2 linked regions of the Mytilus edulis genome follow. Each later gene encodes a partner of the first gene's protein in a complex. Links are inferred from orthologs where the notes say so. Each region holds a gene or a part of one and is shown in the gene's direction. Other genes may lie near its edges.

Region 1 (15,938 bases):
CCAGAAAGAATTACAGATTCAAATCAGAGCACTTTTAATTTATTGTTACTGTTACCTTAAAATCAATAATAGCCTTTTCTCCAAGGTTAGGACATGACACAACTCAACTAAAAATTCTTTTATGTAAATAAAATTAAGCACAGATTTGAGAAAAATATTATCATGCAAAAATTAAACACTGGTTTGAAAATTGATTGAGTATTCCAAAAGCCAATTTGAAACATTCAATTACACTGTACAAATATGAATGAAAAATGGTAATGCAGTATTAATACAATGTAGTAGTTATGAATATGGATATGTGTAAGACTATAAAATGAAGGGAGATAACTCACTGCTCGTAAACTTGGTTGTCTTTGTTGTCTGATAACAGGTTCAGGTTCTGGTTGACTCTGAAAAATATAATAAGATGTCAAGGTAGATTAAGATTGGTTTCTTATATTTCTTTTTTGGTTTTTATCCTTTATAATCATTTTCTTCCAGAATAACTCATCTTATAAAACTGCCTTTCAAAGATGAAAAAAGCATTAACTTGCAAGTTCACAAAATGAAACTACCTGGATTCATATCAAATTTAAGTCATCTCCTTTTTTTTAAAATATCAGACTGGACCATTTGGCTTTCATGCAAATCTCCATAAGTTGTAACAATTTTTTCTTTAACTTGAAATCCATTAGTTTGTTTTAGTACTTAGAGCAGTTGCACTTGATAACAGCACGTTCATTAACAAGGTTACAAACTTATGTATTGTTCAATGCAAATATTTCACTAAGGAATATTGATTATAATGTGTGTAATTTCATTTCAAAAGTCCTCTATACATACCCTTTTTGGTGTGTGAATTGGTGCCATATGATCTAGATCTGTCATTGGGAATTCAATTCCTTTTCCTTTCAAATCATTATAACATTTCTCTACTTCCTTCAGGTCTGGTTGCCCTTTAAAAGCATCTGACCAGGACTATAAAAAAAAATTAATTTAATTATTTACTGTTATACTACTCTTTTAATCAAATATTCTAGCAATACATTTCTATATATTTTGTATTTTTCACTTAAACCTTTGTAACTTTCTTTTTAAATAAATTCAAATATTTTTTTACTAAGGGCTATTCCAGAAAAAAATGTATGGGGGTTGGAAGGCACATTGTATTAATAATACATGGGTGATGGGTATCAGAGCAACTTTTCACACTATAATGCACTATAATTCTCAATTACAATTGTCTGGGTGGCGGGTGATGACAAACACTGCCTTCCAAACCCCCATACATTTTTTTCTGGAATAGCCCTAAATTAAGAAGATACAAATCAGTGAATTTAAGGAAAACAACTTTAAAAAGACAGATCAATATCCCATATAAAATAGTTTACCTGTCCTTTGAACAGGCAAATTATAGCTGTCAAACTAATTAACCTTGATTTTAATAAAGGCAAGGTCATGGCAAGAAGATTGCGTAAACTTCATTTCTCTCTCTCTGAATTATGTAAAATAGCAAATATGTCCGGTTCAGGCTCTGAACAACCAAGTCCAGTGTATGATTCGTCAGGCTTGACCAGACAATTAGTCCGCCTTGAAAGCCCTGTTAGGTAGACTAAATCCTCTAACCTCATTATGACAGAATGATTTGTATATTTAGATGTTGACTCAGTTTTATCAACCCCTTAAAAAACAACATGGTCAGCTACAGGTTTGAAGCATGTATTGATTTGCAATTAGATTATTTATATATATATCTATAAGGGTGCTATAAACAGTTTCGTACTAAAAACTAGGGGTATTTCCCCAGTGAGATTTACATACTGATGGAATTCCCTGCTATTTATATACCACTAAATGAAAAAGTTGATTGTTTTTTATGTTCAATGTGAAAAACATATATTGAAGTTCAATTAAAATGCCACTTTTGTCAAGATTTAAAAAAAAAAAAATGTTTTTGTGACTTCCTACTATATGGGAGGCAACTCCATAAACAGCTGATTTTCACCTGTTGTAAAAAGCACTTTGATTTGTCAGGTAAGATAGCTCCTTTCGGAGCAGGCGAACGTAGGCTGAAACTACATTTTCTTAAATCAGCCGGATAAGCTCTTCGAAATGCATATTATAAGAAATCTCAAATATATGCACAGGTTACTGATCCGTGTGTCCAAAGGTGGTCTGTTTTTAAGGTTTTTTAGGGGGAAAATGCCTAATTTCCAGCTGATAACTTGTACCAATTTGCATGTTTAACAAGAGATGTTGGATTTTTTTTTATTTATTCAGAAAGTTCATAGAATTATCTTTCCATTGATGTATAGATATCTATATAACTATGAATATCTGACTTCTGCATGATGGGTCCACTATTACATGCCCTTTTACAGAATGACGTCACGTAAAAAACTGTTGATTGCACCCTTAAGGGACAAATACAAAATATTAGTGATGTTTTAGCATAGAAATGTGTTTGGGAATGGAGTAAAATAATTCTGAAAAATATTGTACGGCATGTATACATTAATTTAAAAGCATCAGTTTGGTATATTTAATGCAAATATTACAGATTTGTACATAGCAACCAGATATAAGAAAACCAGACTCTGTGCGAATATTGAAGTTTTTTAATTTTTTGCGACGTCATGATATTTTTATTCAATCTCTCATATATTTGGAACCAAAAGTTGCATATGAAAAGTGTAGATTTTTTCTACTTTGACCTTTACTCCTGATCAGTGTTACATAAAGTTTTATTCATTATAATATATATTTGGTACTTTTTATAGTCAAAAAGGTACACATGCCATTCCTAAGAAAAACACTATTTCAATATTTTCTCAACTCAGCTATAACTTAGTTCATATAGTACTAGGAACAAAATCTATTTAAAGTAACTTTATTCATGCCTATTTCATAGTTTTTATTCTATTTATTTAAAAGAAACCCTATTTTATGATTTATTTTCTTTGTAAAACTGATGAAAATGTGATACAGGAAATGTTTGGGATTTGCCAGTTAAACTGTTTGCCACTGGCCAATATGCCACTACCGCGCGACTTAAAAAAAGAGCTGTAGTTTCACTATTTGTGGTCACAATCCTTAAAGTAAGACATCATTTTAATCGGTATAGTGTACAGATTCAGAAAAGCTGAGAATTTTTTATATATCACATACAAGGTTTTGCTTAAGGGTGCTATAAACAGTTTCGTACTAAAAACTAGGGGTATTTCCCCAGTGAGATTTACATACTGATGGAATTCCCTGCTATTTATATACCACTAAATGAAAAAGTTGATTGTTTTTTATGTTCAATGTGAAAAACATATATTGAAGTTCAATTAAAATGCCACTTTTGTCAAGATTTAAAAAAAAAAAAATGTTTTTGTGACTTCCTACTATATGGGAGGCAACTCCATAAACAGCTGATTTTCACCTGTTGTAAAAAGCACTTTGATTTGTCAGGTAAGATAGCTCCTTTCGGAGCAGGCGAACGTAGGCTGAAACTACATTTTCTTAAATCAGCCGGATAAGCTCTTCGAAATGCATATTATAAGAAATCTCAAATATATGCACAGGTTACTGATCCGTGTGTCCAAAGGTGGTCTGTTTTTAAGGTTTTTTAGGGGGAAAATGCCTAATTTCCAGCTGATAACTTGTACCAATTTGCATGTTTAAACAAGAGATGTTGGATTTTTTTTTATTTATTCAGAAAGTTCATAGAATTATCTTTCCATTGATGTATAGATATCTATATAACTATGAATATCTGACTTCTGCATGATGGGTCCACTATTACATGCCCTTTTACAGAATGACGTCACGTAAAAAACTGTTGATTGCACCCTAAAGATTATCTTTACCTGTATAGAACTTAAGACTTTTTCTTGAAGAACTGTTGGTGGGTCGTATTTAGGACCAATTATTTTGACTAAGTCACCCATAAAATCTTTTGTGGCTACTTGCTGGTGGAATTTTTTTCCACAATTCTTCACACATGTCTCCAAACACTAAATATACAAAGAAATAATATACATTAGGTACAAATAAAACAAATAACTGATTTTGTATAACAAGTAAAAATAAAATAAAATTTGCCAAAACCCTGAAAATATAAATATTTAGGTCTAGTAATATCATCAATTAATTTTTCATGATTGGGGCTTGAAATATTGTCGCAATTGGTGGTTGACACTGATCAGAGATAATTTTGAAGCAGCGTATTAAAGACTCAAAATTCCTTAATGTTTTTAAAAAATTTAGCTAAAATAATCTATTCCTCAACAATCGATTTAAAGTTTTGTAAACATTTGATTTATAAAATAACCATTTCAATGATATACCAAAGTCACTACTGTTTTAAAAATTCTTTGTTGGGTCTGACTGGTCACAATATTAATTTAATTGGGCTTCATCAGAAAGAATTTTTTTTCTTGATGATCAAGTTTTATTTTTAAAAATATTCATTTTCAAACTCTGAGATCATAAACAGCAATTACACACTTTCCCTTTGCTTTTAGTGTTTTTTGCTATACATTTACTGATTGTGTGTCACTGATGGATACACCATATCCTTTGTTTTTTCTTTTAATATATTTTCATGATGAAGTTTGAATATTTTTAGGAATAAGTTTTTTTTAATTATAGGAAATTTCATGTTGTTTTCGTAATGCATCAACAGGCATGTACATTTTATGTCAATACAAATTAATATAATATATTGTTATTATCTTTGAATGTCATCTAAGTAAAATAAAGATTAAATAAGCCAAGTTTTTCATGTCACATGTTTGACCTTTTAACATACATTGTACAATACTTAAAGAAAGGGGAGTCTAGAAACTTACTGTTAAAGTGTACATAACTGCAGTGTGATTCTTTCCCATATTTTGTGACAATCTTTTCTTAATTGCTTTAATAGCATCTTTTGGTCTGTAAAATATACAGAAGAACATTTATAATTTATATAAATCTAAATTCTTCATAAATAAGCCTCAAAGTTGCACGAGATAAAATTTAGGATGACCACTAGTAGGAACTGTTGTTCTTCAGTGGCAAGAGATAAGACCTACAGACTGTTGCATTAAAATGGAAATCTTTACCAATCACATTATTCAAATCATATTAAGCATTACCTGTTAAATCGTGCATTCTGTATGTGCCTGTCCGAAGTCAAGAGCCAGTAATTTATTGGTTGTTGTTTGTAGCGCATGCTGTGTTACATATATTGTTTTTTCGTTCATTACTTTGTAAATAAATTAGGCCATTAGTTTTCTTGTTTTCTTGTTTTACATTTGTCATTTTAGGGCCTTTAATAGCTGACCTAATGGTATTGGCTTTGCTCATGAATGAAGGTTGTGGGGTAATCTGAAGTTGTTAATTTCTGTGTCATTTGGTCTCTTGTGAAGAGATGTCTCATTGGCAATCATACCACATCTTCTTTTTTCATATTTACTGCAGAATTACTTCTGTGAGAGCACTATTGTGAAGGAATGGTACAGTTAAAAAGACTTGAAAAATCCAAAAAAAATCAAAAAAATTTATACATTACAATTTGTAAATTTTCCAACCAGAACATATCATTGTCACTATATGTAGTATAGTAAAATATTTTATTATAGCAAATGTTAATACATCTGACAACTTCTATCAAAAAATATCATGCACCTGATATATTAGACATCCACTCATTCTACTGGCTGACCATCCTTATCAAAACAGTCTGTTCTATTTCCAGACTTGATATGACATCAAAACACATAAATAAAGAGGCCATAAACATACTTTTAAATGACTTTAATTTATATAGCTAATATAAGTATCATACCCTTCATCAGTGTCATTAATTACATCACAGATTTCCATAAACAGTCCCCAGTTTTCTGATGCTTGTGAACCATCAGTGCTTTTTTCTGAAAATAAGAAAATCACAATAGAAAACATGTTTTTTCTTTACCTCATTCTTTTAATTTTTTCTTTTATCATGTTTAAAATACAATATGATTGCACCATAATCTGATAATTGTTGTGCAATACCCTTTAAATGTTAAAATCAAAGATGTTCATAGTGCACCTGCTGACAATTTTCTTGGTTTATATTCATTATAATTTAACAAACCACACATTTCAACTCAAAAGAAGTTTATTGTTGTTAGTAATTATTGTAGCCACAAAAATTTGGTCAACACAGGGTGCAACGACGGACGCTGTCATGGAAAATGAGCAAGTTCTAGGAGTGGGAACTTGTAAAATATTTCACAATTGATTCAGTACACTGTAGGGAGTCAAATCTGGAAATAACTCTCCCAACAGGAACTTGACTTAGACTAAAACTATTTTCATTTGTATTTGTTTACAAGTACAACATGTCAATTAAACATTTATATAGAAAACTGTGTGCTACTCTGTACTCTCCCATTAAGGTTTTAAAAAATCCACCCCTTACTCCTTAAAGTTTGCTCAGGAATAAATGCATTTCAGTTTTCAATTGAATAGTAAATTTGGTGATTGAATAATTGTTCTATGTTTGTTTCACCGTTTGATTGATTATTGGTGTTTAACACATCTTGAAGCATTATCAGCTACAGCTACGCATCCAAGTTTTAATGGTGGAGAAAGCTGGAGAGTGGAGTCAGAACAACCTTCAGCACACCTGCCACATGCAGGGTTTTTACAATGTACATACAAACTCAGTGTTGACAGGCTAGTGATTGCTGTAGATAAACTTCTAAGACCATCCAGGCCCTGGTTTATCAAGGGAAACACCAGAATTCAGGAAACTGCTAGTTTATTTTTGCATACTCTAACAATCAATGTTATTATGTGGATAAAGTTCAAAATTAAAATTGCACAAACAAGTGTTTAATTCATAATATGCATTTAATTTCTCTATATTCATGTTCAAGATAAAGTTACAACTACTTATAACTAAATTATTTTCATGAAATTGACCGTTTCAGAATCTAAAGCATCATGGGTAATTTCATTGTTCGTACCCCAAAGTTAAAATAACGTTACGTCATTGGTTGAATTTCCATTGTTTATAACGTTTTAAACCAATCAAAACGCTTTGGTGTACGCTTTTGAAAATATTACCCAGAATGCATTAGATTCTGAAACGGCGAATTGTTTTAAAATTTGTTGCAAGATACGATGATCTTACCTTGCTTACAGTCTTACTTAGTTCTTGTTGACATTTGCGATTTCATTGAACAGGTTGGGAACAAACCCTCTATATGGTGATTATACCTGTATAGAGGGATAATCCTTCTATAGAGGGATAAAATTTTTGTTTAGACTGGATTTGCAGACACACTTGATTCCTTCAAATGTCTGTGTCATAAGAGAAAAATTCTGATGTCACAATGCAAGTGATTTTTCATGACAGCAAAAGTTAGTGTTTCGAAATAATAGATCATACATTGGTGATTTTCAAATAGTGATACCGTAAACATGAATAAAAAAATTCAAACAGTCACCCCTAACTTTATCCAAACATGGATGATGGAAGGAAGTTAGGTTTGGAAATTAAGTCAGGAATGAAAGTGCAGCAATGACAGTATTTTCAAGTATGTTCATTTTTTAAAAGAAAAATATAGAATAGAAGTTTAGAGCAAAATGATGGTCAAGGTATCAACTATGTCTCAAAAAATATTTATGGTCTCTTTTTTTTATTCAGACTTTCATTCTATTTTCTACCTTTCTCTCCTAAATTGGATTGACATTGTGTTTTGTTGTTATGTAAGGGAGTGTATGTAATGTCTCATCTTAAATATGGGCTGTTACTTCTCACTATAAGCTCTTACCAATCATCTGGCCTACAGGTGTAGCCAGAGGATTCCCATGTCCAAAGAGGGCAGCCATTTTTTTTGTAAATATTGCGTGACGTCATTTGCGTGATCTATTTATAGAATAGTCTTGTGACTGGCATAAAATTTCGACCAATATTTAAAATAATAATTTCTTTCTTCACGTTACAAAATGTTTGGTTTCCTCTCATATTCAAACATCATTTTAAAATACATATTTTCGTGGAACGGAAGTACTTTTAGAACCGGAAATAACAGTCGACATAGAAACAGGACGCCATTTCCCACAATTTTTGAAGCTTCAAATCGACAAATGTGAGAAATCATTGAGGTTACAGTCGTTTCTACTCAAAAGGTTAATGTCATCTTCAATAAATTACAATGAATGATATAGTTTTAATAATTAACAACTGCCACTCGCATTTACTAATATTTAAAACAAATAAACAAGCACTCAACAAAACCAAAATAGTCAATAAAAAAAAAGACAATATCCCTCTGTTTTTCAGGGTTGCATTTCATATGTTAGAAAATATGACCGCTTGATGATTGTGGTGTGACATGCCAAACAATGACGTCATTCACGTTTGCCCTAGTACTAGTCTAAATAATTATGACGTCATGGACGTCTTGAAAGGCTATTATAATTTTTTTCCAAATTTCTCAAATTCCAAATTTTTGAAAAGTTTGAAGAAATCTGTAATTGCAAAATATTGCATAATAGATTTGTAAGATCTTGACATTTGTTTTGTGTCAGAAACTCATATTATGTCAAGAATTTGATCACAATCCAAATTCAGAGCTGTATCAAGCGAATCCAGGTCCTTTCGCGCCCATTCACGTTCGCACCCACTCATGTTCGCCCCCTTTCACTTTCGCACCCTACATGTTCGCACCCAAAGTATGTTCTCACCCTACATGTTCGCGCCCAATATCAACTTTGTAATCAAGTAGTATTCTTATAAGTATTATTGTTTTCATTGTCTCAAAATAAAGTGATACAGCATTTTTTTTTGTGTTGAATAAATCTTAATCATGTTTTGGATAGTGTATTGTTAAAAAAAAAAATATTCCTTTCTAAATAAAGTGGGATTCTGTCAACATTTTATTTTGTGTTGAATAACTCTTTATCATGTTTTGGTTAGTGTATTACCATAACTTTGTTTCATTGACTTGTTTCAAAATGAAGTCAGATTCTGACTATGTTTTTTTATTTTTGAGTCTTGAATAAATTTTATCATGTTTTGGTTATAATAGTGTATTGCTATATTTTATTGTTTCATTGTTTCAGATCAAAGGGACCAAGCTGTTAAAAACAATTATCTTTTGTGTTTTTCATTTATAATCTTCAATCTTTTACTCATACCAAGCTATAAATACATTCAGTATTTACCCGAAAGCAATTAAAAACAACAATGATGATTTTCCAATTATTCAACCGGAATTTGAATAAAAATTGGGCGCAAACGTGTAGAGTGCAAACGGACCTTGGGTGCAAACGTGCGAGGTGCGAAAGTATATTGGGCGCGAACGGACCTGATACCGTATCAAGCTTGCATGAATGTTGTGTCCATACTTGCCCCAATTGTTCGGGGCCCTTGTTTATTTTGTTTAAGGTACAGCACTGATGAGAAGCTTACATAAATTAAAGCATGGACATACATGTACAATGTATGTGTCCCACTCCCTCTGACACAGTTTGTGTCGACACATGTCCGGCAGCAAGAGGGTTAAATCATAATGATTTTTATAAATGTCTATCTCTTACAACCACAATTTGTAGTTTGTGTTTTAAAATTTATAGAGAGAAGAAATCTTTTTTTATCATCTATACATCTTTTCATGTCAGAGATTACTCTGATGTCCAACAGCAATTTTTGGGCAGACAAGATCGTCTGATATATCTAAAAGTTGATATTTGACTTCCTAAATGTATGCTCTGCTTCATTGCTTCTACAATAGAGTATACTGACTGCATTGTCCATATACATTGGTCATCAATTTGTTCATTTTTTTATTTTTCTCATTCATGTAAGTGTCATCTGAATCCTAAAAATATGTTCTCCCCCTCTTTATTGGGTTTGTTAAATAATTTTGTAATCTAGATTTGGCAAGTGTATTATTATTATCTATTAAAAAATGAAAGATGAAATCTGAATTATGTTTGAGATTGTGTATTGCTACAAGACAAGACACGAGTGAAGACAAGATAAATACTTTATTAAAGTCTCACCACTTGTTACATATAAAATATACAGTTTTTTAAAACACAAATTAACAACAAGAGCCACTCTATAAAGAGTTATGAGAGATATAAAAAAAATATTCTTAAATTATACTACAAATACAACTTAAGTCAACTATCATGAATATAAAATACATTTTTGCTTAATTAAAATTTCAGAGCAGATTTTGGCAGTTTTGACATGTAAATAAAAAAAAACATTGTTTCTAAATCAAGTGAGATTCGAACAACGTTTTTTTGTGTGTTGAATAAATCTTAATCATGTTTTGGTTACTGTACATGTATTGCCTTAATTTTTTTTGTTCGTTGTTTCAGATCAAAGGAACCAAGCTGTTAAAAACAATTGTTTTTTTGTGTGTTTTCATTTAAAATCTTTAATGCTTTTCTCATGACAAGCTAAATACCCACAACATGCAGTGTTTACATCATAGGCTTGAAGCAAGTCAAAACAACAATCATGATTTTCTAATAATTCAACTGGAATTTGATTTAAAATTGGGTGCAAATGTGCGAGGTGCAAATATGTAGTGTGCAAAAGTATATTTGGGTCGAATAAACCTGATACCGTTTCATCTACCTGCCTACCATTATCTTCTCATATTATTATTGTAGAAGAAATACGACATTGATATCCTCATCCTCATACATAAATGTGACAGATCACTTTTTAAAAATATTCTGGGATTGTCAATGGATGTAAATTTCTGTCTAGACTTTAATATTTTGTTATTTAAAATTTGTCAGACTCCGATTCAATAGAATTTAGCATAATCTCATGACCTTCGTCAGTTTTTAACAGCATGAGTGAGTTCCTTCTGATTAATAATCAATGTACATGTAGTTTGTCATAAATCTTAATATGTGAATTAGGTTTTTTTTTAATACAGTATTACCATTTTGATGACAAAACAAGAACTTGGACCTATGTCATTTGTTTTAAATTTTCATAACTTTAAGACTCTAATAATACATGTACAAAAATGAACATTGATTGAAAATAAGACAATCATCCTTTTTAGTTTCTTTCCATTGTATTAAATATGTGGATTTTATAATTCAGATCCATCAAAAGCAGCAAAAATGAGTGCTGTAAATTCTATGTCTCGTATGTACGATAACTTAGAACCAACAGTTATCGATGAAGATTTACTCAGATCTGCTGTTGAAGAACAAGGTCCCAAAGAAGAAGCTGGTAAAATAGCTAAAGCTGAGGGGATAGACTTTGGTGATGTTAGATCCTTGAGATTAGACTTCAAAAGTAAGTTAACAAATAATTTAGCTGTGTTTGAACAAGATGATGCGTGTAAAGTGTCCTATCTGAATTATGAGAAAAAATATATGAAAATGTTTGTTAAAAAAATATTAAAAAAAATTACATGTATATTTTTATTATCAACAAATTCCAAAGTTCCTTTGCTACATTGTTTCTTGTGGATGTAATATTTATATTGTAAATACCTTGTTGTTTTGGTATTTTATCGAAAAAAAGTTTTATATAGTTTTTGTTCCATTTAAAAATAGTTTTTCAAATTTGTAGCCTCCTGGCAAAAACTTAACTTTCCTGATTTAAACGTTTGTTGAAGTGAATTTCTTTCACTTTTCTCAATAATTTTATAATTATTAAGAATACAAATTAACTTTGAGAGATCTCTTTTTGTTGTTGCACGTATGTTCATTATATATATAAATATATATATATATTTGTATATGTCTATAAATCTGCTTTCATTTTATATTATGTGAAAAGAAATTGATCAGTAAGTCTTTTTTTTTTATTTTCCAGATGTTTTGACAATTGACAACTTATGGGAATTTACAGCTTTAACAAAATTACAGCTGGACAACAATATCATAGAAAAAATAGAAGGACTAGACTCACTGGTAAATCTTATTTGGTTGGGTAAGTGTATAAATTTGTAAATCAAAGAGGGTGTTGTCAATACATAATTATCATGATTTGAAAAATACAAAGTAATATATGTGGGTATACAGAACTGAGATTGGAACTGGAAACATTGATAAACCAGAAATTAAACACATAGTCTGCCACAATACTATAGTCAAGTGTCTGTAGCATATGACAAGTTTTCTAGATGACTTCTAAATACAGTATTTGAGAACTGCCATCAACACAAATTCTTTAAAGAACAAAAACATAAATTATTTGATTCAAACGGGAGTTTAAACATCAAGAACAGTTTTTCTCCATCTTTTGGTTAACTTTCATCCATCAATATTTACAGAAATCAATCATTATCATGCATCATTATTCCCCATCTAAAAATGAAATATGACTATTTCAATAGAAAGAAAACCATCGTTCATATATATTTATAATCTTGTTATATATTAGAGGAGATAACTATTAACTTTAAATTTTAACAGCAAATTTGTTTTTTCAGATTTGTCCTTTAACAACATAGAAGTAATAGAAGGATTGGGTCATCTGACTAAATTAGAAGACCTTACTTTATACAGTAACAGAATATCAAAGATTGAAAATATGGATAATTTAGTAAATTTACAGGTGTTTTCCATTGGAAACAATATCCTGAAAGATTTAGAAAATGTAAGTATCAGCATTGTATTTGGTTTAAGAAATTTTGTAGCTTTTTTCCTGTAAATAATCTTTCAATTTTGAGTGAATAGTTATATGACTTTGATTGTAAGTTAAAAGGAAATTAACCTTTATTCCTCAGTACATCGATGAAAAGTGTCTACAGTGTCTAAGTTTGACAGCCAAATAACCTTTTTTAAATAACCATTAAAGAAATGAAATGCCATATGTAGTTATTTGCCTTCATTACTTTTCCTAATATTAACACATGTGCTCAATTGTTATGTTCAAACAGAAGTATGTGGAAAAATTGATAGCAATGTAACTCAGCATTTTGCCTTGCCACTCTGCCTTGGTGATTTTTTTCTGTTTATTGTAAGTTTGATAGTTATTAGTCAATACTGCTGTGTTGATAATGACATAAGTTTTGACTGACAATACTATAATTTATTTAGGTTTTTTTGGGGGGTTTTATTTGTGGAGCAGGGACCTGACCATATGATATCATACAATGTATTATTCTAGCACTGTCAAAAGTTGTAGCTCTGACTCTTACTTTTACTTTGAAACTAATCTAAATCGTAACGTAAACCAAATAATTGCCTTTTTTCCAAACTGGAAGGAAATGCAAAACCCAGAATCTGTAAGTATTGGATAATCTTTACAACTTAAAAACACTATAGTAGGGGCAATCAGTTAATATTTTGAAAACTTGGCTTCGCTTTATACATTAACATGTGACTTTCTGACAATGAAATTTCCATGGTTTTCAATAATCTAATGTTTTCTTGAACAAGTTTTATTTTATTTTCAGGTTATATATTTAAGGAAATTTAAGAAACTTAAAACATTAACACTGAAAGGGAATCCATTTTGTGAAGAGGACACTTATAAACAATATGTGATAGCATTTCTTTCAGACATAGGATTTCTGGATTATAAATTGGTTCATCAACAAGCGGTAAGTTTAATCCTTTGATAACAAAAAATCAACCTTTTAGACTGAAGTAAAAAGGGAATTTTCAACTCATTTTTTTTTTCATGTGCATTTTTGTTATTGTAATTTTTATTATTAGAAATGAAACATTAAACAACATTTATCTCAGAATATTCTGAATGTATGAAGACTTGGTTAATCTTATAGGCAGGGTTGCACACAATTACAAAACTGACTAAAAGTATGGTAAAGTGTGGTGGTGGATTGGGGAAAAGTGGTATCTACTCTGTCGACTCCTTCTACAGATCTCAATACAGATCCTTACAAAATTATACAAAGATGACACATGTATAGAAATTGTTCATCTTATTAAATGGATTTAATGGTTTTTTTTCTCAATTTTAATGTTCTTTATAATTATAGACCTTTTTCCATAATTTTACATTCATTCTGTGCAAGACTGCGATTTGAGTCTTTGAACCCGTTTAACAATTAAACTTGAACAAAGATGAAATGTACCAAGTAATTAATTGTTCATTTTCTTTTAATGATTTTGATTATTGAATTAAGTTTCTGTTTTTTTTGTAATCAAGATTATACTATTGTGAAAGAAAGTGTATTAATTCAATGCATGATATTAACTATTATTTATTTTTTTTGTATGTTCAGAGAGAGGCTGCCATTGAGAAATATATGATTCCAAGAGAAGAAATGTTACACAACGAGAAACAGGCTAATGCTATAGTAGAAGAAGATAACAAGAGAAAGATAGAGGTTGAATTACATAAGGTAACATACAAAAAATATTTCTCCTTTATTCAGATAATATTTTGTCTTCTTTTTTTTTCTTCTTATACCCCACCTAGGAACAATATGTTTTCAGTCTTTGTCCATCTGATTGTCCATCTGTCAAGGTAGTTTTTAATGAAGTTCAATCAACTTGAAACTTTTCACATGTTCCCTATGATATGATCTTTCTAATTTTAATGCCAAATAAGAGTTTTGACCACAATTTCACAGCCCAGACCACTGAGCATAGAAAGTGATAGTGTGAGTGGGGTATCCAAGTACTATGGACACATTCTTGTTTAACGATTGACTTGATTTTTCTTTCAATTTAAGCATTTTGAGAAATATGAATGTAAATTTTGTACATGTATCACTTTTCAGAAAAATAGGCACAACGAAGTTCTCGTTGGTGCTTGTTTCATGATACAGTCATTAGCTCAACTAAGCTCTGTAATATTTTTTAATAGACTTAAACTGTTTTGAATTCTATTCACAATCGAAGATTTCATGGATTTATGAGATACTTAAATTCATGTTTAAATAATTATTTATTTATACAGATAAATGAAAAATTATAGATTTTCAGATGCCCATACAATTACATAATATTATAATGATTAACAAGTACAGGTATTTGTAGTTTTTCAATACATTTAGGTAAAGAAGGATTACAATCACTAACTAAGTTACTTAATATAATCAGGGGCATAAGTAAAGCATAGTATTTGTTTATTTTAGATTGCTTATGTTGAGAACATGGATAGTGACAGCTTGTTTGAGAGTTTGTACACAGAAGACGCAGAAGGGAAGAAATTGGCAGAATTTCCTGCTATTTCTGAACTCATTGAAAGATATCCTTTTTAAATCAAAATTTAATTTTCAAGAGTAGAATTATTAATAGTTGAGTATGTGGTTTCATCTTTTTTGCTGTTATGGCAATTATTTTAATACAAAATTGAAGTATAATTTGAAAATCATGCATAACAATTTAAACAACATATGGAATATTAAAATTTATCAAATTGGTTAATATTTGTTTAAATTAAATCAAAATTGAAGAAATTTAAATAATTTGTTTTTAAAGTATTCAAAGCTATGTATAAATCTGGATGTATTTCTCATACTTAAAATAAATAGGACTTACCTTTAAGAAGGAGATTTTTTCATTCTTTTTTCCTTAACTCTGTTCACCTTCAGAGAAAAGTTTGTGGCTGTTTGTTACCAGATTTTTGAATACGGTATAAAAGAACATGATAAACGTCAAGCAGAAGTAAACCAGTTCTGGGAATGTATTGAAGAAGCAAAGAATGAAAACAAACTTCTAGGAATGAAGGCAATTGATGAATTCATGGTCATGAAGAAGAAAGTAAGCACATTTGATATAAAATAAACTCATTTACCTTTGTATTTTAAATATGGCATGGGATCATCCAAAAGGGGGAAACATAGTCTTCAACACTTCGTCAGAATCTATCTTTGAAGCTCAAGTTTGCCATAAGTGATTAATAAGTAACAGTTTTATGAGATAGATTTGCATGTCTATAACATGTATGAAAACATTTGAAATTGATGGAATATCCTTTAAGTGTATAATAATTTTTCAAAAGGTCTGATGTCAAATTCCACTAC
Region 2 (16,380 bases), on another chromosome or scaffold:
GTTGTTTATATAAACCAAAAATATTAGAAATTCCTGCAAAAAAAAAAATTCCCAATGATTCTTTGAATTGCCTGACATTTTGTCTACATTTGTTAGATGTATTGTAAACACACAAAACTTCACCAAATCTGTTGTTCAGAAATAAAAAGAAAGAATGAAGTTTGATGCTATAAAATACTGTATATATGTTTAGGAACATTTTTGTTATTGTTAAAGTGATACAGACTTTAACAGATTCTGAAAAAAAACTGTTTATTTTTTAACGAGAATCAATATTTGTTTCTGTTTTGTTTTCCTTAGATATCGTTTTATATTTTTTTATTTTATAGATAACAGTTCTAGCAGTTTGACTGCAAATAAAAACTGAATGTCATAGCAGTTTAACTGCACATAAAATGATTTGTATAGCAGTGTGTCTGCTAAAGTGTTATTCATTTGTGAAGACAAAGTAATAAACAGTCACTTATAATCCTAGCTACAAGTTAGTTTATACCTCACGAAAAAAATAACAAGACTACAGAAAAAATATACATTTAATTTGTAAACTACAATGCACATAGGTGGATCCGCCACTGATGCAGTATTTATATGTACAATCATTTAAACAATTGTCTTTTTATCAATGATAATTGTAAAAGAAGTAAAAATTCTACACAAAATTGAAACAAAAATGATATACATGAATACGTTTTTACAATTTAGATATAAAACATAAAATGAGAGAAAATCTGATATTTTAAAGGAAAACTAAACATGAAACAAATGGCTATATTAGAAAGGACAACCAAGTTGTCTAGAGTGATACTATTGTACTGTGTTTTAGTGTTTATAGTTTTGTCATTGTGTAGTTGATATAGATGTGTGAATGAAATCAAGATTTGTTAGTATGCATGTCATGTTGTGCAAGTAAAACAGGGGAGGTAATTCAGATTTGTTAGATTCATTTTATGTGACTTCATTTTTTTTATTCTACTCGTATAAGGATGATACAATCGTATACTTGTATGTTCATACAGAAATCTATCATTTTGTGTAAACAAAACTTTGCATTCCATTTAGATGTTCTTATTTTCGTTCAATTTCAATCAATCATATTACAGATTTTGTTAAACCTAAATATATTAGTTGTCTTTATGACACAAGAGAAAGTTGAAGATTGAGATAAGAATTCACTCTGTTATCATGTAGGATCTGAAGAAATTCACATGTTACAGAACATTGAATATCATTATAAACATGGCTTCCAAGAGACTTGAAAGAGAAAAAACTTTTCATACAGTTAGATTTATGGACTACCAAAGTATTTTTTATGACAATCACACATATCAAAGTATTAAACATAAGATTAAACAAGCACTATCATTTATTCTACAATTATGTAACAGAACTATTGAGGTTTACATCAAATCCGATGTATATTTCTTGCAAAATTTATATAGGTCATATTTTGGCAACAGAAATTATCTGACGAAAACAAAAGATTTTGTTGTTCAATTCAAATTTAATACTTAAAGATTATAAAATATAAGTTACAGTTAACCTTTATAAATCAGTAATACATATAACGAAATTTAATTCACCAGTTTACTGCAAGGATGCAAAAAGAGTTTGTTTGACTCAAATAGTTTCTATATTTTATATAGATAGTCCTTTATTTATGGTTGTTGAACAACTGTGAATTCTTTTACAAACTTCCACCTAAAAAAGGTAATCCTTTAAAACAAAAGATGAAATAGTGTTGCAATATTGTGAAAAAGTACTTCCAAAGACACATATAATTAATCTATGTATTTTTTATGCCCCACCTACGATAGTAGAGGGGCATTATGTTTTCTGGTCTGTGGCTCCGTTCGTCTGTGCGTCCGTCCGTTCAGGTTAAAGTTTTTGGTCAAGGTAGTTTTTGATGAAGCTGAAGTCCAATCAACTTGAAACTTAGTACACTTGTTGCTTATGATATGATCTTTCTAATTTTAAAGCCAAATTAGACTTTTGACCCCAATTTCACAGTCAACTGAACATAGAAAATGAAAGCGGGAGTTTCAGGTTAAAGTTTTTGGTCAAGGTAGTTTTTGATGAAGCTGAAGTCCAATCAACTTGAAACTTAGTACACTTGTTGCTTATGATATGATCTTTTTAATTTTAAAACCAAATTAGTCTTTTGACCCCAATTTCACGGTCCACTGAACATAATAAATGAAAGTGGGAGTTTGAGGTTAAAGTTTTTGGTCAAGGTAGTTTTTGATGAAATTGAAGTCCAATCAACTTGAAACTTAGTACACATGTTCCATATGATATGATCTTTATAATTTTAATGCCAAATTAGATTTTTTACCCAATTTCATGGTCCATTGAACATGAAAAATGATAGTGCGAGTGGGGCATCCTTGTACTTTGGACACATTCTTGTTGTAACCTATTATTAAGATATTCATATTTTATTTCCTACAAAATCAAGTCCCTGAATTGACTGGTTGACAAATCGTTAGTGAGATAGATAGTGAGATAGAGAGTGTGAAATATGGTGCTGAAGTTTTATCAGAACTTTATGTATGTATGTGTCTTAATCTATGCAATTAGATTAATAAAGCTTATTTAAATTATAAGATCTGAGTTTAATTTTTATACATGAATAAAGAAGATGAGGTGTATAGGTCAATGAGACAGCAACCCAAAGACAAAAATAACAAAATACATCTAGAGAGTAACATGCAGTCTTCAACCAAAGACCTGTCTCTAAATAATAAGTCTTCAAACTCTGAATTGTTTGGAATCTATTGACGATGTGGATAAATTGATAACACTCAATTTCTGAATTAATGAAAACAATATAATACATTAAACCACAAAAAAATATAACCAAAAGACATCTAGCAGGTAGCTTGCTGTATTCCACAATAGACAGGTGATTAGGTCAAGTCTTTGAAAGCGGCAAAAAACTATAGGAACCATTAAAATCAATTTTCCCAATTTATAGATACATAAAGAAATAATATATTACTAGAGGTTTTCCTGTCTAGGTCCTCATAAGTGGAGTTACTATTTTTGACTCTCCTACGATGAAGTATTGGACAGAGAGACATAGCTAGCTGATGCATCTAGTTGTTCAGTTAGTTTGATAGGAACTACTTATGATACATCATTGATATTTTCTATAAAGTTGCATAACTATCAGTACTAATCAGTATGACAACTAGTTCAAGGCCTTGTCCCCTAAGTCATGGCTAAGGTTTCAACTCCCTCAGGCAAAGTTGGCTTTAGATGAATTTGACTATTTATTTTAGGTATATTTGACATATAGCTCTTCAAAGATTCTCGGTACTTATCTATCTTCAGATTTCAAATGTTTGGCTTTGAGCGTTCCTGATGAAGGTAAATCCAAAAAAGCGCTTCGGACGCAAGAAATTATTAAAAGTGTTGTTTTCAATTTTTTAACTGTTCTAGACTTATGCCCTTTATAAATGGAAAAATTGCTACATTTTTAGTTTTGTTTCTAACTTAAGTTTACCTTGACCAAATGTTATAAAACTTATACACAATGCTTATTACCACAAAACACAGATCAAGTTTGAATTTTGGTGGTGTATCATAAACCTTTCAAGAGTTATGCCCCTTTATAAATGGAAAAAATTCTGAATATTTAGTTTCCATTCTCGAACTTTAGTTTGCCAAAACCATATGTTATGAAACTTATACACAATGCTTATTACCACACAAAACAGATCAAGTTAGAATTTTGTGGTGTCACTACCATAACATGAATTCCACAATGATCTATGATATTTTCCATATTTTCATCCTTGTTTATTATTCTACAAATAAGAATATATTTAATTACCTTTCATCACATCTCAGAATGTGACCAATTTTCTGATTCTTTTACTTTCCAAAAGCAAAATTTCTGCTGCCACTTATAGATCAGAAATTCCTGACAAAACCAGAGCATCACTGTTAACCTTTTTATTTCCTTTTTTGCTCTGTTCATGCTGTAATTGTTGTCTGTGTGTTCTTTTTGCTTTGTTCATTTGTTCTTTGTTTGTTCTTCATTTTGCATTGTTCGCTGTGTTTTCATTATGTTCATCTTTTTGCATTGTTAATGTGCTGTTATCGTTATGTTTTTCATTTTGAATTGTATGTGGTTTTATCGTTATGTTCCTTTTTGCATTCTTCATTTTGCAATGTTTTGGGTGTTATTGTTATGTTTTTCATTTTGCATTGATCGTGGTGTTGTCGTTTTGTTCTTCATTTTGCATTGTTGTAGTGTTGTCGATATGTTCTTCATTTTGCATTGTTTAGGAATGTTAACGTTGTGTTCCTCATTTTGCATTGTTTGGGAATGTTATCGTTGTGTTTCTCATTTTGCATTGTTTGGGAATGTTAACGTTGTGTTCCTCATTTTGCATTGTTTGGGAATGTTATCGTTGTGTTCTTCATTTCGCATTGTTTGGAAATGTTAACGTTTTGTTCCTCATTTTGCATTGTTTGGGAAAATGTTATCGTTGTGTTCTTCATTTTGCATTGTTTGGGAATGTTATCGTTATGTTCTTCATTTTGCATTGTTTGGGAATGTTATCGTTGTGTTCTTCATTTTGCATTGTTTGGGAATGTTATCGTTGTGTTCCTCATTTTGAATTGTTTGGGAATGTTATCGTTGTGTTCCTCATTTTGCATTCTTTGGGAATGTTATCGTTGTGTTCTTCATTTTGCATTGTTTGGGAATGTTATCGTTGTGTTTCTCCATTTGCATTGTTTGGGAATGTTATTGTTGTGTTCTTCATTTTGCATTGTTTGGGAATGTTAACGTTGTGTATCTCATTTTGCATTGTTTGGGAATGTTATCGTTGTGTTTCTCATTTTGCATTGTTTGGGAATGTTATCGTTGTGTTTCTCCATTTGCATTGTTTGGGAATGTTAACGTTGTGTTCTGCATTTTGCATTGTTTATGGTGTTATCGTTATGTTCTTCATTTTGCATTGTTTATGGTGTTATCGTTGTGTTCTTCTGTTCTTCATTTTGCATTGTTTATGGTGTTATCGTTGTGCTCTTTATGTTGCATTATTCGTGGTGGTATCGTTATATTCTTCATTTTGCATAGTTCGTGGTGATATTGTTATGTTCTTCATTTTTCATTGTTCTTTGTGTTATCGTTATGTTCTTCATCGTGCAATGTTTGGGGTGTTATCGTTTTGTTTTTCAAATTGCATTGTTCGTGGTGTTGTCGTTTTGTTCTTCATTTTGCATTGTTGTAGTGTTGTTGATATGTTCTTCATTTTGCATTGTTCATGATGTTATCGTTATGTTCTTCATTTTGCATTGTTTTGGGTGTTGTCTGTATAATATTCTTTTGTTTTTGCTTTGTTCGTGTTGACCAGAACAATTTGTACAAACTTGTAAATGCAGAAAAACAAAAGAACCAATAACGTTCCTTCAAACGAGGTGATGTTAGTCATCATATATACAAGTCGTACAGTCTGTGTTACGTGTTCCATCTTAGACCAGAGCTGAGCGCTCAAACAATCATGTTTAACCCGCAACATTCCTTGTGTGCCTGTCTGAAGGTCAGAAAATATAAGTCATATTTGTTGTTGGTTGATGTTCCCAAAAATATTTTAGCACATAGCATAACTGTAGTTGAAATCAGGTCGTTGATGTTCTCTTTAGAATGTTTGCACATTTAGAAATTAGGTGTCTGTTATGGTTTACTTTATACACGGTTAAATGTGAGTTTTTTGGTGTTTATGGCTATTTGTTTCATTGGCAATCATAACACATCTTCTTATTTCTATATAAATCGTGTTCATGAAAAGATTGCGTTTGAAGTTATATTAGAAATGTTTGATATGATTATCACCAATATTCTATGCATTTAAAAAAAAAAAGAAAAGAACCTTATAATTTTTCTCAGCAACACAATTTCAATTCAGAGGGAATACAACCTGTAATTAGTTGTCATTGTCGTTTTTTTTTTCTTTCTTATTTTCTTTTCTTTTCTTTTATTGTTTTGAATTGTATTTAGACAATATACGTATAGTGTCTTGAAATATGAAATTTATTTGTATGAGGCTTAGAAACGGGAAAATGCGAGGTTCTACATTGATTCGGCAAAATATCCTTATCGTGATTCGTCAGAAGTGTTATATTAAGGTATATAGGGGGATCTGAGACAAATACCTGTGATGGCAACAGCAGAGGCGGATTTAGGGGGGGCCCAGGGGGCCCGGCCCCCCCCCTTTTTGGGGAAAAAATTTGGTTGCTTATATAGGGAATCACTGAAGCGTGACTGGAGCGGGCCCCCTCTTAGGTCAGTCAGTGGGCCCCCACTTATGAAAATTTCTGGATCCGCCACTGAACAAGGAAGTTTATTCCATGTCCATATTCTCCCTTTGTCAATATCAACTTTAATAGCAGTTTCTTCCGATTGAATTATTGTTCTTTAAAATAAATTTAGCAGAACTTCGGTTGTTTTTCGAAAGAGGATTTCTGATTGTCAAATTGTAGAAATGTCAATTTTGTACCTGTAAATCTGAAAATATTGATTTCTTTCTTATTGATCTCTATCATGAAAGTATGTCTGATTTAGGTCCTATATATACTCATCGTCTCTTGTTCGTTGTGGAGGTTTGCAATGTCAGGTAGGCACGACTTGCCTGTTATCTTTAGCCTTTGGCACTACCTGACAATGTAAAATCTTCGTTTTGACATACGGAACATATAAGTTCTTGGGGACAGAACAGTTACAAGATTTTTTTTTTGTTAACCTTTTTTTCTCTAAATCCGTTAGGTTTTGGTTTTCCATTTATTTCAATAAGTTTCGTGCTTTGCAAATCAATATGAACATAAATATGCTAGAAATAACTTTAATTTGCTGTTTCCTATCAATTCCTAGTTTATTCTCCATGTGCGATCAGTGATAATATAAAAAACATGTTAATTATTTAATTGAGAAAATTTAATCGAATAGAAATCTAATCAAAAATTATTCATGGAATTAGAAAAAAAAACCATTTTAACTGCTTTATAATATAATAAGATGTGATGATTTTAACGATCTTGTAATGTAACTGATAAAATTAAACACCACAAAAATATGAAAATATTTTAAAATTGAAATCTTTTTTATTTTAAAATATAATTTGGTGCCGAATTGACCATGAATGTGGAATGCTATATTGAGTATATATGTCTTTTTAAGTATATATAGATATATAAACATTTTATTCATCATTGTGCGAAGTGTTCCTTTGAAGGAGAGATTTTCTTAACCAGAACAGAATACATTTTTAGACTCCTAAATTCGTGAAGCAGGCCAAATCGCCCCACTGGCAAATCGCCCCAACTCGCCCCTTAAAAAAACTAATCTACACAGAATGCAAAAAAAAAAGAAAATTTATTTTATTATTATTATTGAAATCAAATGATGTTTTACTAAATCTGAAATTATAATTCTAAATATTAAGGATTTCAATTAACAGCAATTTGTTATCATAGCACTTACTTTGAGTCCAAATAATAATGACGTCTGGCAAGGCTATTTTTTTTCTTTCTGCGACGCCTTCCTACGTAATAGCCTTGTCAGACGTCATAATTATTTGGACTAAGCATTTACCGGATTGGTTACTTTTGTCTTTGAATCATTGAAGTTAAGAATAATCCAACCCTAACGAGCAATCATTGAAGACAAATGTTACTTTCAAGTAAATATTAGAGAGAATGCCCATTCGTTCATTTACAAAAAAAATGAAAACAGAATCGCATAGTAAAATTAATAAACAGTACAGGGAAACAAAAAAACTGATTCAGAAAGAGACAAGAAAAGCTTATTGGACATATCTGGAAAACATCATTTGTTACGACGAAAGCTTACAAACCTCGCAAAAACAGAAACAAAATTGGAATTATATTAGGTCCACCAAAAAAGACAGTTCGGGAGTTGCACAATTAAGATCTGAGGGTATGCTGATAGACGACACAAAACAAAAAGCTGAAATACTCAATAAACAAAACCACTCTGTTTTTACACCTGAAAATAATAAAAAAAAAAAAAAAAAAAAAAAATACCAACTCTATCAGACAACTTTCTATCTATGGCCGAAATTCATGTTACACCAAATGGCATAGAAAAACTTTTGAAAAATCTTGATACATCTAAAGCTACAGGTCCAGACGAAATACCAGCACGCATTCTTAAACAATTTGCACCTGAATTTGCACCTCATCTCGCTTTCATCTTCAATACATCTTTCTTGAAAGGAGATGTGTCAACAGACTGGAGACAGGCAAATGTGATCCCTATTTTAAAAAAAAAGGCGAAAAATACCTAGCCAGTAACTACAGACCTGTCTCCCTAACCTGCATTTGCTGCAAACTGCTTGAACACATTGTTGTAAGTAACATACTGAAACATCTGGACACACATAACATCCTTGTGGATAATCAACATGGCTTCAGATCTAAACGCAGCTGTGAAACACAACTACTTACTTTATGTCATGAACTACTTAGTAACCTCCATCATGGCGTACAAACCGATCTTATTATTTTAGACCTTTCCAAGGCATTTGACAAGGTACATGTACCTCACAAAAAAACTATTAAGGAAGATGGATAACTATGGCATAAGAGGAAATACCTGGAATTGCCGGGGTCCTTAATAACAGAACGCAACAGGTTGCCCTTGACGGAGAGGTATCTAGTCAAATGCCTGTGGTAAGTGGGGTGCCCCATGGCTCAGTCTTGGGTCCACTACTTTTTCTCATCTTCATTAATGACCTACCTGCAGCAGTAACACCAAAAACACGCTTGTTTGCAGATGATGGTATCTTATACAGAAACATAACAAATCACCAAGATAGTACCATACTACAAATTGACCTAAACTGCCTAGCCAAATGGGAACAAACTTGGGGTATGCAATTCCATCCAGAAAAATGCAACTCTCTCACTGTGACAAGATCACAGTCACCATTCAAACATGACTACGTATTAAAAGGCCACATTTTAGAATCCGTCAGCACAATTATCTCGGTATCACCCTTTCTCACAACATGTCTTGGGACACACATATCAACAACATTACTGCAAAAGCAAATAAGATCTTAGGCTTTCTTAAAAGAAACTTAAAAATAAACCAGGAAGAAACAAAAAGTTTAGCATACAAATCCATGGTACGTTCGAATTTAGAATACTGCTCTTCAGTTTGGTCCCCTCACACCCAAAAACAAAAAAAAAACAACATTGAAAAAGTACAAAGAAGGGCAGCACGCTACGTCACCAACAGGTACCACAACACCAGTAGTGTCACTCCCATGATTGACTATCTTCAATGGAAGTCACTTGAAACTCGCAGAAACATCAATCGAGTAACTATGCTGTACAAAATCTCACACCATCTCATTGCAGTAGACCCAAACCTTTACCTTTTACCACAGCCAGTCAAAAACACCAGATTCACTAATTCATTACAATACCAAACATTTAACACAAGAACAGATTACTTCAAGTACAGCTTTTTTCCATTCACAGTTGTACTGTGAAATTCACTTCCACAAAACGTCATCAGTGTTAACTCCCTGGATCAGTTTAAAATACTGATCCAGAGTCAGTATATTTAGATATCCAACCTGTTTGTAAATATGTAAATGTGTTAATTTTTGTTTTGTTTTTGCACAAAATTATTTTTGAATTATTGCACTCATTGGTTATTACATTTTATTAAGTGTCTGTTTGCGATGCGCCGACGTATAGTCATCAATGTAATGATGGATCGTCGTATGATGTAGATGAAGATGTACAATAAGCGTGGGTCTTGTTTTTGTTAGTAAAAAGACAAGGCAGGTTTTATTGTTGATGAAAATTTGATTGGTAAGTTTTTTTTATGGTTTGAAAACATACATAAATGAGAAATTTATAAGTGGGGCGAGTTGGCATTAATAATTTTTTATCGTGGTTTTTCTATTTGTCATGATTCAGATTGGGGCTAGTTGGCAGACCTTAAGGATTTTAACCCTTTTCATAATTGGGACAATTTATCCAACCTATTTTCAATAGAATTTTACCCTTTTCATAAGTGGGGCGAGTTGGTAAACCAGAGTGGGGCGATTTGTGGAAAAGTGGTGCGATTAGGTGTGGGGCGATTTTCCAGTGGGACGATTTGTCATTGATTCCTAAATTCGTTTTCCCTACAAATCGCACTTGTCACAGGGGGAGATAATTACAAGTCAAGGTCACTGATTAGCAACCAATATAAACAAGATGGGTGATGCTGAACAGAAGGAAAACGCGGGTAGGAATTCACAATCACGATCCCATCATTATTAAACAACTTCTCCATAAATATATACCCTTACTGATGAAGGTCGAGGAAATAAATTTGCAGTTTTGAATCATAAATTATCCTAATATTTGTATGAAACTTTCACGAGAACCAATTTTTTTTTTATATTGTTATTATTTTCAGATGCACAGCTTGCTGGTAGTTGTATAAATTAAAGCAACAGCAGGATAACGATAAGCAATTGAACTAAATCGATCCAGCAAAAACAAACTGGTTAAAACTAAAACCCAGGGGAAACACATCGGAAACACATCAACGACATATATGATATAGGAGGAAAACAACTGAAAAAAAAAACCAAACATGTATGATACAAAAAAAGGACTAATTGATAACAACTACCATATTCCTGACTGGATACAGAACATTTTAAGAAATAAATAGTTGGCTGAACCTTGTATTATGGTTAGCAAAAACTTGTGGTTTTATGGTTTATAGCCAAAACTCATGCTAAATAAATATATGCCACTGTTAAAAATACAACTAAACAGACAACATTTTGTAAAGGATGGGTCTCAATTTGGGTCCAAGTTGACACGATTTGGCCAATTTTTTTAAGCCTGACACATGAATGTCTCATATTTAAGTGTGAAAAAGGGATACAAAGTCTAGCGGGACATTGGAAATTACATGAGTTATTACGGCAAAGAGAAACCTAAAACAGGATTCTCACTAAACAATTTGCGGGATCTTGGATCAGACCCCCTTCACAAATGTGACCCCCTATAAGGAATACATTACAAATTAAAACAGGAACAATTTATAATAGAACAGAGATATACATGTGGTAATTTTAAGATATTAATTTGAAAGATCAGACACACCATTAGGTGGTGTCACCATGTGCACAATATTCTTTTTAACAGTATGTAACTATAGTAAGTAATGAATCTAAAGGAGCTGAAATTGAAATGACATTATCTTTTACAAAGGGGGTGTTGGTAAGTAATATGTTTGGTCATGTTGGTAAATGTATGTTTGCTTTGTTTTTGCAAAGAATTTTTTATACATATATTACATAAATACAAGACAAATAAAATTAAAGCTTCTCAATTATATAATTGCAATAAAACCAAGATCAGCCAGGAGCCTAAAATTTTGCTGGCAAAACGATGATTTAAATCTTTAAAAAAATTTGAGAATCTCTAAAATCTAAATCTACCTGGCCGACTACTTCATAGCAAAGTATTAACATTCAAAACAATTCAAATAGTAATCTTAGCCTCTGTTTGAATTATCATTTTACAACGATTTTTATCTCGCATAATCTGTGGAATTTTTATATTCATTGACTAAAAATTGAAAAATAAAAGGGTAGAAGGACAGCTGATGGATAATGTGATTGCAAATGTACGACACATGGCCAGCTTGTGATCAGCATTATATTCGACAAAAATCTCTTATGTTTGTATTGTAATATCATTATGTGTACTGAATCAAAATAAAACATTTATATTCAGCAGTGGATTTTATTCAGGTCCATTTCTTAATAAAGAAGATATCTATTATATAAAAAAAGAAAGAAGTTTGCTCCACATATCTTCATTTATAAGCTTATATCTTTCACAGGAATCCCAATTTACAACTGACATGATGTTCTTGACATTCACAAATGTTTTACAAAATAATGACAAGTTGTGATATAAATTATATTGTACAGTCATGTGGAATTCATCAGATAAACTGGACTTTAAAAACTAAATTAAGGCAGCTTCACATGAAATGAAGGCAATCATGATATACCTAGCCTACTACTGGATGTCCAAGGAACACATTTTATTTAAGTTTAATTTAAAGTTGACAGTATGAATGAATAAATAAATAACAACTATATATTGTCTAAAGCTTTATTAAGATTTTTCAATAATTACATTTGTACAATATCATATGAAACAACTGCAAGTATATTTTTTTGTTGCATATACAAAAAAATTCTCTTAAGCAGGAAAACACCATGCAACCAAAACGTTTCCGAATTTCACTTCTCAAAGAAATTGGCCACTTCTCCATACTCTCTCATGGAAGCAGTTCTCCCTCTCCAAAACTAGATTAGACCCTTAAGATAACATCCCTTTCAGTATACATTAAATACTGTTAGATAGTTTATGCCCTTTTGAAGTTTTGGTTCTATGCCTAACCGTTTTATGCATTTGCCTTCTGAACTTTTTTGGTCTTGAGCTACCTATTAAAGGTTATTCCAGAAACATTTGTACTTTTAAAATTAAGAATGTTATGGTACAGTCATTTTCCTTCGGAAAGTGATTAGTTCAACCAGTTTTTACAGCATTATCAGGGGTTGGTCCAGGATTTGAGTTTTAGGGTGTAAACCTTATAATTTTGCCAACCTCTGAGCAAGTTAGATTTTTTTTCTATTTTTAGTATGCCCAAGTTTAATTTTTTCCATTTTAAGGGTTCCACAAAGGCGTACTTAAACCCTACCTGACTTTGCCCATGATTAAACCAGTAACAAAATGTGCAGTCTTTAAAGTTTCATTGTTTTGCATTTGCTGTGAATGCTTGTTAATGTTGCTGATTCATGAATATTCTGTTATTTACATGTTTTGACACTAAAGTCAATTGTGTGATGTTTTTATACGACCGCAAAATTTGAAAAATTTTTCGTCGTATATTGCTATCACGTTGGCGTCTGCGTCGTCGTCGTCGTCCGGCGTCCGAATACTTTTAGTTTTCGCACTCTAACTTTAGTAAAAGTGAATGGAAATCTATGAAATTTTAACACAAGGTTTATGACCACAAAAGGAAGGTTGGTATTGATTTTGGGAGTTTTGGTCCCAACATTTTAGGAATTAGGGGCCAAAAAGGGCCCAAATAAGCATTTTCTTGGTTTTCGCACTATAACTTTAGTTTAAGTTAATAGAAATCTATGAAATTTTGACACAAGGTTTATGACCACAAAAGAACGGTTGGGATTGATTTTGGGAGTTTAGGTTTCAACAGTTTAGGAATTAGGGGCCAAAAAAGGGCCCAAATAAGCATTATTCTTGGTTTTCGCACAATAACTTTAGTTTAAGTAAATAGAAATCAATGAAATTTGAACACAATGTTAATGACCACAAAAGGAAGGTTGGTATTGATTTTGAGAGTTTAGGTCCCAACAGTTTAGGAATTAGGGGCCAAAAAGGGACCCAAATAAGCATTTTTCTTGGTTTTTGCACCATAACTTTAGTATAAGTAAATAGAAATCTATGAAATTTAAACACAAGGTTTATGACCATAATAGGAAGGTTGGGTTTGATTTTGTGAGTTTTGGTCCTAACAGTTTAGGAATAAGGGGCCCAAAGGGTCCAAAATTGAACTTTGTGTGATTTCATCAAAAATTGAACAATTGGGGTTCTTTGATATGCCGAATCTAACTATGTATGTAGATTCTTAATTTTTGGTCCCGTTTTCAAATTGGTCTACATTAAGGTCCAAAGGGTCCAAAATTAAACTTAGTTTGATTTTACAAAAATTGAATCCTTGGGGTTCTTTGATATGCTGAATTTAAAAATGTACTTAGATTTTTAATTATTGGCCTAGTTTTCAAGTTGGTCCAAATGGTGTTCCAAAATTAAACTTTGTTTGATTTCATCAAAAATTGAATAAATGGGTTCTTTGATATGCCAAATCTAACTGTGTATGTAGATTCTTAATTTTTGGTCCAGTTTTCAAATTGGTCTACATTAAGGTCCAAAGGGTCCAAAATTAAACTAAGTTTGATTTTAACAAAAATTAAATTCTTGGGCTTATTTGATATGCTTTATCTAAATATGTACTTTGATTTTTGATTATGGGCCCAGTTTTCAAGTTGGTCCAAATCAGGATTCCATATCAAGTATTGTGCGATAGCAAGAAATTTTCAATTTGCACAGTATTGCACAATAGCAAGAAATATCTAATTGCACAATATTGTACTATAGCAATTAATTTTCAATTGGAGTTATCTTTCTTTGTATAGAATAGTAGTTGATAATATATGTTGGAAATTTGCCAGACATGACTATGATGTCATTTTCTATTTTTATTTGCCAATAACTTTATGTAAATAACTTCATTGGAAATTTGCCAATATAAAATGTTGCTGATGAAGCTTTTTTTCCTTATCTTATCTAAAATGTTTTTAGATAATGTATGTTGGACATTTGCCAGACATGACTATGATGTCATTTTCTATTTTTATTTGCCAATAACTTTATGTAAATAACTTCAATTTGCCAATATAAAATGTTGCTGATGAAGTTTTTTTTTATTGTTTTATACAATAAACAATGTATATTCACTTTTACTACCACCCAATCTTTACCATTCAGTGATAACAAGCACTTTATTTTACATTTTAATATTTTATGATGTATTTAAAAGAGTAGTTATTGTTGCAAACTCCATTAGAAATTTGAATTGATATCAGTTTTGGAAAAAGGGAAACGGGGATGTGAAAAAAAAGGGGGGGTTTAAATTTTTCTCATTTCAGATTTCTTAAATAAAAAGAAAATTTCTTCAAACATTTTTTTGAGAGGATTAATATTCAACAGCATAGTAAATTGCTCAAAGGCAAAAAAAAACTTTTAAGTTCATTAGACCACATTCATTCTGTGTCAGAAACCTATGCTGTGTCAACTATTTAATTTTAGATTTAAAAAGTTTGAAGAAATCTTTAATTGATTTGTAAAATCTTGACATTTGTTTTGTGTAAAAAAAAACCATGTAATGTCAAAAATTTGATCACAATCCAAATTCAGAGCTGTATCACGCTTGAATGTTTTGTCCATACTTGCCCCAACTGTTCAGGGTTCGACCTCTGCGGTCGTATAAAGCTGCGCCCTGCGGAGCACCTGGTTGTCATTTGTTGCTTAACAGTGTTTGGGATAGTTTATATATCATCTTATCTTTTTTTGGTAGCACAAGTGTGCCTACATGAACAATGTATATCAACATTTAGGGGTTAATTTTGATTTTCAATATATAGTAACATAACTATATGTAGCTAAACATGTAGGTGGCTTAACAGTATATTTTTGTTTTTGACGTTTTTATGCGTTTTTGTATTGATATCTTCATACTGAAGTTATTAGCAATTAAATTCGGCTCTTTAGTTGATTTTTGACATTCTATTACCTTATAGCGGGTTATTTTCACAGGGTGTAAATTTTTGCTTATATTCGCGGATAGAACAAAATCACTAAAATAAATTCCGCCAAAAATTAACAGCTAAAATATTTTGTATACCTTATTCATTGAAAATCTCGAAAAATAACATGCTATACGGTATACATGTATCTATGTCCAAGGCCCATCCCATTTTGAACCTGCATGTTCCTTTAGTGATGCAGTTATGAAGTACATACCCAATTTATAATATAATTCACATGTATATTGATATAATTTTCTCTTGAAAGAATTGTTATTAAAACCTTATTTGAAAATAGAATAAAACATGTACATGTCCTTTAAATGTTAACTTATACTTTTCATTAACTTATACTTTTCAGATTCTTTAATAGCTGATATACAGAAAAGAATAACAGATGCATTTGAAATTTTTGACAATGAAAGCAATCAGACAGTTGATGTCAGGTGATTTATTGTACTGAATTTAATTTTCAAGTACTGAATGCCTCAAAAACAAACAAGATGTAATGATTTTTAAAAGCTTCATGTATTGACAAATTTTATGGCATGCAGTGACACCTTTAATTTTTTGATGATTGAAGTTACATGTATCATCCACCTCAGTTATGATCAGTTTACACGTAAATGATATTTTTATTATGGATGTCGACCAACTACTTCATTACCAAGTCACTTCATGTTACTTGAACCTATATAATTTTATTTTATAGAGAAATAAGTACCATCATTAGATCACTAGGTTGTGTTCCTAGTGAAGCAGAATTACAAGACATTTTGGCAGAGGTAAGAAAAATGTGATCATACAAAGATAGAAATATTGGTAAAACATGTAGCATATTTGAAATAATTTTACACCTATCTGGAATGTGAGCAAAGAAAGACCACTCTTTTTAGATTTATCTGACTTTCTACAACTACAT

Evidence for each region.
Region 2: dynein regulatory complex subunit 3-like (region 1) and dynein regulatory complex protein 8-like share a complex: the UniProt entries of both Homo sapiens proteins name them as parts of the nexin-dynein regulatory complex. The link is inferred for Mytilus edulis from reciprocal best matches to the Homo sapiens genes DRC3 and DRC8.

Annotation. Positions count from the first base shown.
Region 1 is NC_092352.1:28,250,018-28,265,955, reverse strand, and holds the start of dynein regulatory complex subunit 3-like, read left to right. Parts: upstream 1-8,028; 5' UTR 8,029-8,136; exon of another isoform or gene 8,137-8,142; intron 8,143-11,086; 5' UTR 11,087-11,106; coding exon 11,107-11,284; intron 11,285-11,809; coding exon 11,810-11,926; intron 11,927-12,428; coding exon 12,429-12,595; intron 12,596-13,397; coding exon 13,398-13,544; intron 13,545-14,189; coding exon 14,190-14,309; intron 14,310-15,047; coding exon 15,048-15,160; intron 15,161-15,500; coding exon 15,501-15,675; intron 15,676-15,938. Other genes in the region: TOM1-like protein 2, read right to left, coding at 336-392, 826-960, 3,837-3,983, 4,821-4,905, 5,801-5,885, 7,779-7,836. UniProt on the Homo sapiens protein: Component of the nexin-dynein regulatory complex (N-DRC) a key regulator of ciliary/flagellar motility which maintains the alignment and integrity of the distal axoneme and regulates microtubule sliding in motile axonemes.
Region 2 is NC_092346.1:91,312,801-91,329,180, reverse strand, and holds the start of dynein regulatory complex protein 8-like, read left to right. Parts: upstream 1-10,174; 5' UTR 10,175-10,248; coding exon 10,249-10,279; intron 10,280-15,819; coding exon 15,820-15,904; intron 15,905-16,170; coding exon 16,171-16,243; intron 16,244-16,380. UniProt on the Homo sapiens protein: Component of the nexin-dynein regulatory complex (N-DRC), a key regulator of ciliary/flagellar motility which maintains the alignment and integrity of the distal axoneme and regulates microtubule sliding in motile axonemes.